Arabidopsis thaliana: one gene and its partners. The protein of the gene in region 2 binds, or shares a complex with, the protein of the main gene of each other region. Each region holds a gene or a part of one and is shown on either strand. Other genes may lie near its edges.

The links. The genes of interacting proteins can lie anywhere in the genome.
Region 1: TAF11 (region 2) and HAF2 share a complex: the UniProt entries of both Arabidopsis thaliana proteins name them as parts of the TFIID complex.
Region 3: TAF11 (region 2) and TAF6B share a complex: the UniProt entries of both Arabidopsis thaliana proteins name them as parts of the TFIID complex.

Annotation. Positions count from the first base shown.
Region 1 is NC_003074.8:6,572,589-6,577,485, reverse strand, and holds the start of HAF2 (histone acetyltransferase of the TAFII250 family 2), read left to right. Parts: upstream 1-1,872; 5' UTR 1,873-1,933; coding exon 1,934-1,967; intron 1,968-2,203; coding exon of another isoform or gene 2,204-2,219; coding exon 2,220-2,444; intron 2,445-2,695; coding exon 2,696-2,787; intron 2,788-2,877; coding exon 2,878-3,052; intron 3,053-3,445; coding exon 3,446-4,556; intron 4,557-4,707; coding exon 4,708-4,897. UniProt on the Arabidopsis thaliana protein: TAFs are components of the transcription factor IID (TFIID) complex that is essential for mediating regulation of RNA polymerase transcription. Core scaffold of the TFIID complex.
Region 2 is NC_003075.7:10,951,453-10,955,579, forward strand, and holds TAF11 (TBP-associated factor 11), read left to right. Parts: upstream 1-2,087; 5' UTR 2,088-2,248; intron 2,249-2,326; 5' UTR 2,327-2,339; coding exon 2,340-2,656; intron 2,657-2,726; coding exon 2,727-2,814; intron 2,815-2,902; coding exon 2,903-3,002; intron 3,003-3,084; coding exon 3,085-3,212; 3' UTR 3,213-3,624; downstream 3,625-4,127. Other genes in the region: BAM3 (Leucine-rich receptor-like protein kinase family protein), read left to right, coding at 1-1,019, 1,144-1,472; AT4G20290 (uncharacterized protein), read right to left, coding at 3,707-4,127. UniProt on the Arabidopsis thaliana protein: TAFs are components of the transcription factor IID (TFIID) complex that is essential for mediating regulation of RNA polymerase transcription.
Region 3 is NC_003070.9:20,289,004-20,293,685, forward strand, and holds TAF6B (TBP-ASSOCIATED FACTOR 6B), read left to right. Parts: upstream 1-1,596; coding exon 1,597-1,716; coding exon of another isoform or gene 1,717-1,785; coding exon 1,786-2,033; intron 2,034-2,120; coding exon 2,121-2,227; intron 2,228-2,298; coding exon 2,299-2,375; intron 2,376-2,454; coding exon 2,455-2,592; intron 2,593-2,684; coding exon 2,685-2,780; intron 2,781-2,876; coding exon 2,877-3,001; intron 3,002-3,084; coding exon 3,085-3,217; intron 3,218-3,427; coding exon 3,428-3,553; intron 3,554-3,657; coding exon 3,658-3,769; intron 3,770-3,858; coding exon 3,859-4,157; downstream 4,158-4,682. Other genes in the region: ABCD2 (ABC transporter family protein), read left to right, coding at 1-217, 295-571, 694-944, 1,033-1,242; NHX5 (sodium hydrogen exchanger 5), read right to left, coding at 4,350-4,437, 4,526-4,647. UniProt on the Arabidopsis thaliana protein: TAFs are components of the transcription factor IID (TFIID) complex that is essential for mediating regulation of RNA polymerase transcription. Not redundant with TAF6.

The DNA.
Region 1 (4,897 bases), on a different chromosome or scaffold from region 2:
ATAAAATAAAAAAAATAGACTAATTTTGCGTAGGATTTGGTTTGGTTTGGGTCTGTTACTATAAGAATGAAATAAAGAGACTATACAATATACACCGTAACAAGTATATCCTTTAATTTTGTCATATGACAATTATTGTTCTTCTTTTTCTTTTTGGACATGGATAATTATATTTTGTTTCATTTTGGTAAATTAGGGTCCTGTTCGTTTGCCTGTGTTCGTTTGCTTGTCTGTGTTCGTTTGCCTGTCGCTGACGACTGAAACCAGCGACAACGACCAAAAGTTGTTTGTTTGCATAGCGATCAAAAGTAACGACAATCGCCAGCGACCAGCGACCGCAATTTTTGGTCGCTGAAATTTTTAGCGATCAGTCGCTGATTTCAGCGATTAGTCGCTGGTTTTAGTCGCTGGATCCAACGACATGCAAACGAACAATTTAGCGATCAAAAAATATAAATTAAAGAATAATTAAAAATAATTAAATTAAACAGAATTAAATTAAATTAAACTTAAAATAAATGTCTTTTTGCACTCTGAACGGTTGTGTCTTTTAATCGCAACTTTCCGTAAAAAATATTGATGGTTGTTTTTTCTCGCTTGTGTCTTTTATTGCAACCTTCCTATATTGTAATTTTCTGTCAAAATATTTACAGTTATTTTTTCCGGTTAGTTATATATATACTATTGAATAACTACGAAATTTAGAATATGCATCATTTGGAGTTAGATTTGTTTTAAAGAAATTATTATATAAATAAATTTATAATATTTTTCTCTGCGATATCAAGAAAGGTTTGAGTTCTAGTTTAATTAAAATAATTCTTATTAAATTAAGTTAAAATAAATTAAATTCAAATAACATAAACTAATTATAGTCAAATTAAATTTGATAAAACTAAAATAAATAAATCTATTAATTTATTTTTCTCATGGTGTATGATATATATGATTTACATTTTGATTTTAAAATATAAATTAGTACCAAAAATAATTAATTTTAAAAAAAAATATAGCGACTGTTTATAGCGACAGTCAAACGAACAACACAACGACAATTATTAGCGATTGTTGATGTAATTGGTCGCTGAGTCCAGCGACAGACAATCGAACAATATATGTTGTCGCTGGTTGCTGTCGCTGGTCGTTGGTCGCTGTCGCTGGATCCAGCGACAGGAAAACGAACAGGGCATAGGTTTTGTTTGTTTTATTTAGTATTTCTAACGTAAATTTTAAAAAAGCGCCAAAATCTAGAAGAAGAGTAATATGCGAGAAAATCACTTTTACTCTTATTTATTTACTTGTCTTGCCAAATTTCCATCAAAATTATTAATTACTTAATTATATAATTTTTGACTAATTATTTACTTTATTGGACCCGGGATATGTAACTAAATGGGCTTTTATTGGGCTGTATTCTGTGGACCATTAATAAACATAATCTTTGAAGTGCAAAAAAAAAAATGGGACCCGGGACAACTAAATCAGAATCGGGGCGGGTTATAAACTTTTCCCTATAAATTACCACTCCGATGTTAATACCCGCCTCTTTGATCCCTCAGACGATTTCTTCTTTCCGTTGTATCTTCCAATCACCCGATTGAGCTCCGCTTCACTTCCTCCGGCTAAATGTGTACATACTCTCAATTAGGAAACCGCCAATCCCACATAACGTTGAATGTCGTCGTCTCGGTTAGATATCAACGAGGGTTTTGTTCTTGGTTCCTTACTAAACAACAAAATTTGACGAAAATTGGTACTTGGGTATGAACGTTGTTATTCCCTAATTGTACCGGAAAATTTGATGGTGGTATGTTTCCCTTGTAGGTTTTCGTTGAGTCGTGGATTTGTTCTTGCTCCTGATTCTTTTCAGTAGTTCCTTTGCTATTTGGGAAGCAAAATTGTCACGCCACTCTTTGCATTCGAGGGTTTTATTATGTCTGAGTCCAACGACAACGAGACTTCCGCAGGTTATATTTGCAGTTTCTTACATGGTTTCTTCATTAGTGTATTGCATTCTCCTAGTTTTGCTCTAGTCATAATCTACTTATTGTGGGATAATTTATTGCTCAGCGTTTTGAGTTAATTAAATAGAAGGTTTTTATGTTTGAGATTTTGATATACGCAACAAGTCCCACCCATAGCAGTTACAAACTGAAACTATTTGCCACTACCAATTCCCGGTCATCAGCTTCACTGACTTGTGATGATATGTCGTGTAGATTATGGGAGCAATGATGAAGAGTATGATGGGCCTGAGCTTCAAGTAGTTACTGAGGAAGATCACCTACTACCAAAAAGAGAGTACTTATCAGCTGCATTTGCTTTGAGTGGTTTAAATTCCAGAGCTTCTGTGTTTGACGACGAAGATTATGATGAACAAGGAGGACAAGAGAAGGAACATGTACCAGTTGAGAAATCTTTTGATTCAGAAGAGAGGGAACCAGGTTTGCTTTTGAAATTTCCGTTTCTTGAACAAAACGATTAGCACACTCTATTCTCTACTTTTGTTTTGTCATTTCATTAATCTCAGATTGGTTTAGTTTTCTCAACACTTATACTTGTTTAGCTCGGGAAAATAATCTCTTGTTAAGTTGGAGTCCAGTGCGTCATAAATACTAGAGATCAGAACTCTTGGAACTTTTCTTAGATTCCTTTTGTGTTAGTGATTATGAGACACTAAACATTATTTTCGCAGTTGTCTTGAAGGAGGAAAAGCCCGTAAAGCATGAAAAGGAGGCTAGCATCTTGGGAAATAAGAATCAGATGGACACAGGAGATGTCCAGGAGGTCAGCAAGAATGATTTCGGTGTCTCAGATAACATCTTTTTTTGTTGTGGAATGATTTTGTTCTGTTAGTGATCTCATTGAAACGTTCAGGAGTTGGTGGTTGGATTATCAGAAGCTACTTTGGATGAGAAACGTGTCACCCCGCTGCCTACGTTATATCTTGAAGATGATGGTATGGTCATCTTACAATTCTCTGAGATATTTGCTATACAAGAGCCACAGAAGAAACGGCAGAAGAGAGAAATTAGATGTATCACTTATAGAGGTATGTGATCTGCAACGGCTTCCTAATTTTGTTTATTCTCAAAAGCCTTTGAATTTTTTGTGCTTTCCATTGGGATGTTAAAATCTACAACAACAATGATTTCTCAAGATTTTCAGTATCTCCCGTTCAATTCTAAAAGCCATTAGGTGTCGAAAGCATGAGAAGTTTTTTGTATGTGGCTCTGTCTTTTCTTGGCAAGAATTTAGTAGATATGTATATTTGGTGCTTCTGAAATGATATACATTATTTTCTCTGTTTCTCTCGTTATCTCTCTGCATTGTTCTTTTCTGTTTGTAATTCATCACTTCTTTTAATGTAACTAGAATAGCTGAGAAAGTTCTATGAAAACAATTATCATATGAGACTCTTACATCATAGCCTTCTTTGGTACAGACAAATACATATCTATGGATATTTCTGAGCTTATCGAAGACGATGAGGAGGTACTCCTGAAGAGCCATGGTAGGATTGACACTCATGGGAAAAAAACTGATCAAATTCAGCTGGATGTTCCCTTACCAATCAGAGAGCGTTCACAGCTGGTAAAATCTGGCATAGTAAGGGATACTACATCAGAATCGAGAGAGTTTACCAAGCTAGGAAGGGATTCATGTATCATGGGTGAACTGTTGAAGCAGGACTTAAAAGACGATAATTCATCTCTCTGTCAGTCTCAATTAACAATGGAAGTTTTCCCTCTAGACCAGCAAGAATGGGAACATCTAATACTCTGGGAAATTTCTCCTCAATTTAGTGCTAATTGTTGTGAGGGCTTCAAATCTGGACTTGAGTCAGCAGGTATAATGGTACAGGTGAGGGCTTCAAATTCAGTGACTGAACAAGAAAGCTTAAATGTGATGAACTCTGGAGGGCAAACTCAAGGGGACAATAACAACATGCTCGAGCCTTTTTTTGTAAATCCGTTGGAGTCTTTTGGCTCAAGAGGTTCCCAGTCTACAAATGAGTCCACTAACAAAAGTAGACATCATCCACAACTCCTTAGATTAGAATCTCAGTGGGATGAGGATCATTATAGGGAAAATGGCGATGCTGGACGGGAGAATTTAAAGCAGCTTAATAGTGACGCTCGTGGGCGCTTGAGTGGACTTGCATTGCAAGATAGGGATATGTGGGATGAGTCATGGTTAGATAGCATAATATGGGAGTCAGATAAAGATTTGAGCAGGTCTAAACTAATATTTGATCTTCAAGATGAGCAAATGATCTTTGAAGTTCCGAACAATAAGGAAAGAAAATATCTTCAACTTCATGCTGGATCTAGGATTGTATCTCGATCTTCAAAATCCAAGGACGGATCCTTTCAAGAAGGCTGTGGATCAAATTCTGGGTGGCAATTCAATATTTCTAATGACAAATTCTATATGAATGGGAAAAGCGCTCAGAAACTGCAAGGAAATGCTAAGAAATCTACCGTACACAGTTTGAGAGTTTTCCATTCGGCACCAGCGATTAAATTGCAGACGATGAAGATCAAATTGAGCAAGTAAGTGAGTCATTTGAATTTTTACATCTTATTGTATTTGTACGCTTCATTGTTACATTCGTGTGTGGTCTCAATGTTGCCACTGGATATATTTTTTAAATACATTTTTTTAGTGGTTTATGTTAAAAAGTTTTGATTTAACTCATTGCAGTAAAGAGAGAGCAAATTTTCACCGGCCCAAAGCTCTGTGGTATCCACATGACAATGAGCTAGCCATAAAGCAGCAAAAAATTTTACCCACCCAAGGTTCCATGACAATTGTTGTTAAGAGTCTGGGGGGTAAAGGATCACTGCTAACCGTCGGCAGAGAGGAATCTGTCTCTTCTTTAAAAGCCAAGGCT
Region 2 (4,127 bases):
TTTGAGTCACAACCAGATTTCCGGTCAGATTCCGGTTCAGATATCGCAGATTCGGATTCTAAACTATCTGAATGTTTCTTGGAATTCCTTTAACCAAAGCCTTCCCAACGAACTCGGATACATGAAGAGTTTAACATCAGCAGATTTCTCACACAACAACTTCTCCGGTTCAGTACCAACTTCAGGGCAATTCTCTTACTTCAACAACACGTCATTCCTTGGAAACCCTTTTCTCTGTGGATTTTCTTCAAACCCTTGCAACGGTTCCCAAAACCAATCTCAATCTCAGCTACTTAACCAGAACAACGCAAGATCCCGAGGTGAAATCTCCGCAAAATTCAAGTTGTTCTTCGGGTTAGGCCTACTAGGGTTTTTCTTGGTGTTCGTCGTTTTAGCTGTGGTCAAGAATAGGAGAATGAGAAAGAACAACCCGAATTTATGGAAGCTTATAGGGTTTCAGAAGCTCGGTTTCAGAAGCGAACACATATTAGAATGTGTTAAAGAGAACCATGTGATTGGGAAAGGCGGACGAGGGATTGTCTACAAAGGGGTAATGCCAAACGGAGAAGAAGTTGCAGTCAAGAAGCTCTTAACCATAACCAAAGGATCATCTCATGACAACGGTTTAGCCGCAGAGATTCAGACATTAGGTAGAATCAGACACAGAAACATAGTGAGATTGCTCGCTTTTTGTTCAAACAAAGACGTGAATCTCCTTGTTTACGAGTATATGCCTAATGGTAGCCTCGGAGAAGTCTTGCACGGGAAAGCTGGAGTGTTTTTGAAATGGGAAACACGGTTGCAAATAGCGTTGGAAGCGGCTAAGGGGTTGTGTTATCTTCACCATGATTGCTCGCCACTTATAATCCACCGTGATGTGAAGTCAAACAACATCTTGTTGGGTCCTGAGTTTGAAGCTCATGTTGCTGATTTTGGGCTTGCTAAGTTTATGATGCAAGACAATGGAGCTTCCGAGTGCATGTCCTCGATCGCTGGCTCGTACGGCTACATCGCTCCAGGTACATGACTGATTCCTAATACTACTTTCTTGTATCACACGTAACATTCAAACTTAGGATTTCAGTACTTCTAGTTAAAACGTATGATTGATCTTAGCCCATTTTATCCGTTTCTTGAATGCAGAATATGCATATACACTGAGAATAGACGAGAAGAGCGATGTGTACAGCTTCGGAGTAGTGTTATTGGAGCTGATTACGGGTCGAAAACCAGTAGATAATTTTGGGGAAGAAGGGATAGACATTGTGCAATGGTCAAAGATCCAAACAAACTGTAACAGACAAGGTGTGGTGAAGATCATTGACCAGAGATTGAGCAATATTCCATTAGCAGAGGCCATGGAACTGTTCTTTGTGGCAATGCTATGTGTGCAAGAACATAGTGTTGAGAGACCGACCATGAGAGAGGTTGTCCAGATGATCTCTCAGGCTAAACAGCCTAATACTTTCTAAATGCAGTGATGTTATATATATAAGAGACTAAATATATATTTTTCTGTTTTATGTGTTTCATAGAGTTTTGTTTTTAGAATTTGTAATGATGGTTTGGTGGTGATATGAGTTTATATTGAAATTGAGGAGGAAAAAAAGGGTTAGCATTATATCTTCCTATCATAAAGTATCAAGCAAAACTAAATAACATTTGCTAGAAAATTATGAATTATGTGAAAGATTTGAAAAAATAGATAACTGTTCTTTGATTCATTTGGAATTATAAAAATCATGATGACCAAAGAAAAATGTTGAAATCACTCAAGCATTTGATTTAACATATGATTATCCAATATCTATAGAAATAGTTAGCATTTGAGTGTTTTTACTTTTTAGTATCCAATTCACTATCATTGATATTTTTAATTTTGTTGTCTAGCTCGATTTATAACATTTGGCTAGTTGTAAATCGTTATCCCAACATTGTATTCCAAAAAAAAAAACCAGTTAGTTATTCAGTGGTTTTGAACTGAGCCCAGCCCAAATCCAATGATGTGGTTCTCGAAACTTTTTGGGTTGGTTTAACAAAAACCGGTTCAGATCTTTTCTTTTGATCCACCAATTGATTGGACTAAACCGACTTATAACAGTCGCTACACTCCTATAGAAAAGCTTGAAATTGAACACAGTCGATGAATTTTCCTCTCCGCCTGGAAGATTGTGGAGCTCCCAGTTGTTGTTAACAACGGTCTAGAGATTCGTGTCTCTTGAAATTCGATCTGAGTTTCACCTTCAAGGTTCGTCAATGATCCGTAGCAATTTGCTTCGTTCTAAACCCTAATTTGAGATCTCAATTATGTGATTTTTTCGTTTAGGTTTTAATCAGGAATGAAGCATTCAAAGGATCCGTTTGAAGCAGCGATTGAGGAAGAGCAAGAGGAATCGCCACCGGAATCACCCGTTGGCGGAGGAGGAGGAGGTGATGGTAGTGAAGACGGACGAATTGAAATCGACCAGACTCAAGATGAAGATGAGAGACCTGTGGATGTTCGCCGTCCGATGAAGAAAGCTAAAACCTCTGTTGTTGTTACTGAAGCTAAGAACAAAGATAAAGATGAAGATGATGAAGAAGAGGAAGAGAATATGGATGTTGAGCTTACTAAATATCCAACTAGTTCTGATCCTGCTAAAATGGCCAAAATGCAGTGAGTCTTTGTAGAATTTTGATTGTTCTTCATGTTTCTTTGATGATTGATTGTTTGTTGAATTCTTCAGAACCATATTATCGCAATTCACTGAGGATCAGATGAGTAGATATGAATCTTTTAGGAGATCTGCACTTCAAAGACCACAGATGAAGAAGGTATATATGTTATATGATTTGTGGTTATCAACATTCTTAATTTTGTTTCATTGCAAATATGAACCATTTAGCTTTTATGTTAATGCAGTTATTGATAGGTGTCACTGGTAGTCAGAAGATTGGTATGCCAATGATTATTGTTGCGTGTGGTATTGCAAAGATGTTCGTTGGTGAACTCGTTGAAACAGGTAAGCCAGTGCAAAAATTTCCAATGATTTTGTTTATGTGCCAACAAAGCTCATTTACTGAACCTCAATACATTATCTGTAGCTCGAGTTGTTATGGCGGAAAGGAAAGAATCAGGACCTATCAGACCTTGTCATATCAGGGAGTCTTATCGGAGACTAAAGCTCGAAGGAAAAGTGCCTAAAAGATCAGTTCCACGCCTTTTCCGCTAGTCAACAAGAGCCAAAAGAGAACTTATATCAGCCTAAGACTGGGGAATTTACCAATGCTGCTCAAGGATAAGGGTCTACGGCAGGTTTAAGCTGGCGAGATTTGCCTATCAATCTCATCATAAAGGAGAACTTCTTTGGCTTCCCTGGTGGATCATATTGTTCTTTGATGTTCTTAACTTTGTGTGACAACTTTTGTAGTAAATCAATCTTTGGATACAGACCCTGAAATGGCTATCAGTCTTACGGTTTGGTTTTTATTTGGTTTACGTTTCCAGTTTTCATTTTCAATACAAGATCAATCTTTGACTACAGACCACATGGCCTAAAAGTGGCAATCCGGTTTACTAGGTTGGATTCGGTTTCATTTCCGGTTTTATAGAATTCGAAATCAAATAAAATCATTTGTAATCCGGTTTATTTGGTTAAATTTGGCTATACCTAAAAATTGGTTTTAGTATTGATTCGTTTTTGGTCGAACATTACAAGAACTGGGTTTATAAGTTCAAATTCAAATTGTGTATTTCTTCGGCGTGATTGAAAACCGTCGCGATCAGAATTCGGTCTACTGTCAAAATTGGTACGGAGACGTTTTGAATCACACAAGTTCCGGCGAAAGAGGATCTAGTGGGCCTGATAATGGGCCGATCTCGAAACGAACTATTACGTGAAGAGAAGAAAACAAAGTGGGTTGCGAATTGAAAGTCTACAGAAAATAAAAGGACTGGATTGGAAAAATAAAAAGAATAAAAGAAGTTTTGACACAATAACGCACCCACTATCTTTCTCCTTCCCTTCCGCCTTCCTTCTTCTTCTTCTTCTTCTTCATCCTCCTCACTGTTTAACGCAGAGCGCCTCCGTTTCTTCTCTTCTCCTCCTCTCTCTTTTCTCTCTACACAAATATTTTTCCCTTCTTTT
Region 3 (4,682 bases), on a different chromosome or scaffold from region 2:
CAACATCTTCAGAGATCCATCTGACACTGTGGACGAGATTGAGCTGACATATCAGAGTGAGATGAACTCTTCACTGCTGGACACCAATGGTTCAATCAAGTCCCAACCGAACCAAAAGCGTCTGGAGATCGAGGAGCTTACTCTTCAGACACCAACAAACGGAACCACATTGGTTCACAACTTATCTGCAGATGTATATGACAAGGATCACCTACTGGTTAGTTCACTTTGACTACTTGTGTTTAAAGCATGTGACTGGTAGATTGGAAGTTACTTAAAAATGCCATTTAACAGATAATGGGTCCTAGTGGGAGTGGAAAAACTTCGCTGCTAAGAGCAATGGCTGGTCTTTGGAGGTCAGGGAAAGGAAAAATCACGTTCTACCTCGATCCTGAGGTAGATTTTACACAGGAGAAATCTGATACTCAGGAAAATTCAGGGAAAAGAGGAGACGTATTGTTCCTTCCACAAAGGCCTTATATGGTTCTGGGATCTTTGCGTCAGCAATTGCTTTATCCTACCTGGAGTGCAACTGTGGAGGAGACGACACCTGGTGGCAGTAATATTGACGGTACTCAGTTTAAATTTGTGTCTAGTAACAACCATTTCTTTCAACTCCATTTAAGTTTATGCAAGCAGATTATAGAACCCAAAAGCAAATCGACTGAAGAAAAAATGCGTTGATTTTGTTAGGTTCACCACCTCTGCTGATTAGAGAGGACGGAAATGAAAAGCCGACAACAGATGATCTGATGCGGACTCTAGAGAAGGTTTGTCTTGGACATATAGCGGATCGCTTTGGTGGTCTTGATTCGATACACGAGTGGTCCAGTGTTCTCTCACTTGGTGAGCAGCAGCGCCTTGCCTTTGCACGGTTATTGCTGTCTCAGCCAAAGCTGGCGCTCCTGGATGAATCCACCAGTGCGTTGGATGAAGCTAATGAGGTACTTGTTGGTTCTCCTCTCATCTATCATTTAGAATAATATCATGTACATGTAGCGTTGAGCCATTAAAATTCCTCTTGATGCCCAGGCGTTCCTGTACCAGCAAATCCAGTCGGCTGGCATTACATATATAAGCATTGGCCACCGCCGGACTTTAACGAAATTCCATAACAAGATCTTACAAATCTCAACGGCAGACCCGAAGAGCAATGAACGTAACTGGCGAATAGAGGACGTGGATGCCCAAGATTCTTTGTACGGTAGATTGAATCAAAAGGAGGTGCCAAGTGAAAGCTGATCAAAACCTGATTGATTACATAAGAGACAGAAGCAGCAGGTAAATCTGCAAACGGGTGTCATGAAACATATAAGAAACATGTTTGGTGTCCATTTTGTATATAATCTACCAGACTTGACGTTGACTGAAGATGCAAGTAAATAGAGAGATTGATACAGATACGAGTGCAACGAAGTTCTGATTAAAAATAACACGCGAGATGAGCTAAAAATTCAAAACCGGCTGAGTATTTATCATAAGCCCAATAAATCTAACGATGGGCCCATTTGAGAAAGCCTGATAGAGTGAGAAAATGTAACACGACTGACTCGACTCAGTCGCTCAAAGTCGAAAAAGAAAGAAGGCGCAAGGAGGATGGTGACGAAAGAATCCATTGAAGTGATAGCTCAGAGCATTGGACTCTCCACTCTTTCTCCGGACGTCTCAGCCGCTCTTGCTCCCGATGTCGAGTATCGCGTCCGAGAGGTCATGCAGGTATATCATCAACTTCAACTTTACTTTTGCCCTCTAATCTCCTCTTTAACTTGTCGTCGCAATCTCCAGGAAGCTATCAAATGCATGCGTCATGCTCGACGCACCACTTTAATGGCTCATGATGTCGATTCTGCTCTTCATTTCAGGAATTTGGAGGTTTCCTCTTCCTCTCTTCTTCTTTTATTTCATACCGTTGACCCTGATTTTGACTTTTTTTTGTATAGCCTACCTCTGGCTCCAAAAGTATGCGGTTCAAGAGAGCTCCTGAGAACAGAGATCTATACTTCTTCGATGACAAAGATGTCGAGCTCAAGAATGTAAGCTTCATTGATTGGCCATGAATGAAGAAGATGGTGAAATGTTGTTTATTGTTATTAAGCTTCCCTTCATGGTCTCTTGTGCAGGTTATCGAAGCTCCTCTACCAAATGCACCTCCTGATGCATCTGTTTTCTCATTGGTTGGCAATTGATGGTATTCAACCTTCCATTCCACAGAATTCTCCTCTCCAAGGTATTTCTTTTGTCTTCTTTTGCATCACCTACTACTTCTCCTTCTAATCCCTCTTCCATGACAATTTGTAGCCATATCTGACCTTAAACGATCGGAATATAAGGACGATGGCTTGGCTGCTAGACAGGTGCTTTCTAAGGACCTTCAGGTTATTTTACTCCCTTCTTTTTTTGGGTCTTTACCTCGCTCTTTGAATGCTATATAATCCTTGCTTGCTCTCGATGCAGATTTACTTTGACAAAGTCACGGAGTGGGCTTTGACTCAATCTGGCTCCACCCTCTTTAGACAAGCACTCGCCAGCTTGGAAATTGATCCTGGACTCCACCCATTAGTTCCCTTTTTCACTTCTTTCATCGCTGAAGAGGTTTGTCTTTGTAATCCAACACTTCTAGTCTTGACTTTTATTCTAACTTGACCACATTTTCACTACTTTTTTTGTGCTTGCAATTTCTCCAGATTGTCAAAAACATGGATAATTATCCAATCTTGTTGGCTTTGATGCGTCTTGCTAGAAGCCTCCTTCATAACCCTCATGTACATATTGAGCCATATGTAAGTTTTGTGCGCACACTTTTTTTTTGTTTTTTTTTGTTTCTCTTCTCCCTTCTCCTCCTTCTGTTGACTTTTAACTTGTTGTATTCTGTTCAGCTGCATCAGTTGATGCCGTCTATTATCACTTGCCTTATTGCCAAGCGCTTAGGAAGAAGGTCATCTGATAATCACTGGGACTTGAGAAACTTCACTGCCAGCACAGTTGCTTCAACGTGCAAAAGGTTAATGTTACATTCTTGCTTTGTGATTTCATGCATCTTATACAACCATATAACTTGCAATCACATTAGTGAACTTTTTACAGGTTTGGACACGTTTATCACAATTTGTTGCCACGTGTCACAAGATCACTGCTTCATACCTTTTTGGACCCAACCAAGGCACTCCCACAACACTATGGGGCAATTCAAGGGATGGTAGCCCTTGGGCTTAATATGGTACTTCCTCTTGATGCTTCTTGATTATCATAACGAAGAGTAGCACTTTAGGTTGTGCGTCTAGAATTTTTACATAAGAAAGCATAAGTTTAAAACTAATAGTAGCATGATCCGACATCCTCGATAAAGTTATTAAACCTGCAATTGAACCTTAAGATATATATCCTTTGGTCGTCCGTAAGTATTTTCTTGCTTTATACCTTTGTCTAGGTTCGCTTTCTTGTTCTCCCAAACCTAGGGCCGTATTTGCTGCTTCTTTTACCTGAAATGGGACTTGAGAAGCAGAAGGAAGAAGCTAAGAGGCATGGGGCTTGGCTTGTTTATGGAGCGTTGATGGTGAGTATGCTTTCTAGTTTGATACAGAAATTAGAAAACTTGTTTGCTTTCAATCTCGTGTTGCAAAACAGGCAGGAGAGCATATAAACTTTAACTTTCCATAGGTGGCAGCTGGTCGATGCCTATATGAACGGCTTAAAACATCTGAGACACTGCTGTCTCCTCCAACTAGCTCTGTCTGGAAGACAAATGGAAAGCTCACCAGCCCCAGGCAAAGTATAAAATCTGGTCTCATTCTTTTTTTTTCTTTTGGCGTTCTAAACACGGAGATACGCGTTCTTAAATAATTTTTTTCTTCGGCCAAGGTAAACGCAAAGCAAGCAGTGACAACTTAACTCATCAACCACCACTGAAGAAGATAGCAGTAGGGGGAATTATACAAATGAGCTCCACACAAATGCAGATGCGCGGAACCACAACAGTCCCTCAACAGTCCCACACAGATGCAGATGCACGGCACCACAATAGTCCCTCAACAATTGCTCCGAAGACTTCAGCTGCTGCAGGCACTGACGTCGACAACTATCTCTTTCCTCTTTTTGAGTATTTTGGTGAGAGCATGCTTATGTTCACCCCCACACATGAGCTCAGTTTCTTCTTGTAATAGATTATTGACATGGTAATTGTATGTACCACAATAAATACATCTATATAATATTTCGAAATGTCTTGGAAATCGTCAACTTTATAGTGGGCATTTTGCGAGAGGTAAAATCAACCAGTGTTAATCTTACATAGACATATGTGTACTCTAATTATAGCTTGGCCTGGACCACAAATACACATCTTTTCCATGCTACTCCCCATCTCCATCTCCATCTCCACTATTAGTTGTGAAGAACGGAGTCAGAAAGTTTTTGTCCAACGCGGTGAATGATGTAGTGCTGCAAAGTTTTGTCAAGTGAGTCCCAAAAAATTGCAAATATCGCTTTTTACTCAGGAAAACATACTAAGCCATTCTCTTATTCTTACGTTTTGTGAAACTCCTTCAGCTTCATCTTGAACCTGCTTCCTGATGATGATGTATCCTCGTCAGATGAAGCTCCAATGCTAAAAGGAGGAGGGACATACTGATGATCGCTCTCTTCAAAGCCCTAACCACGTATCTGGGAGCGTTAGAAAAAGTACA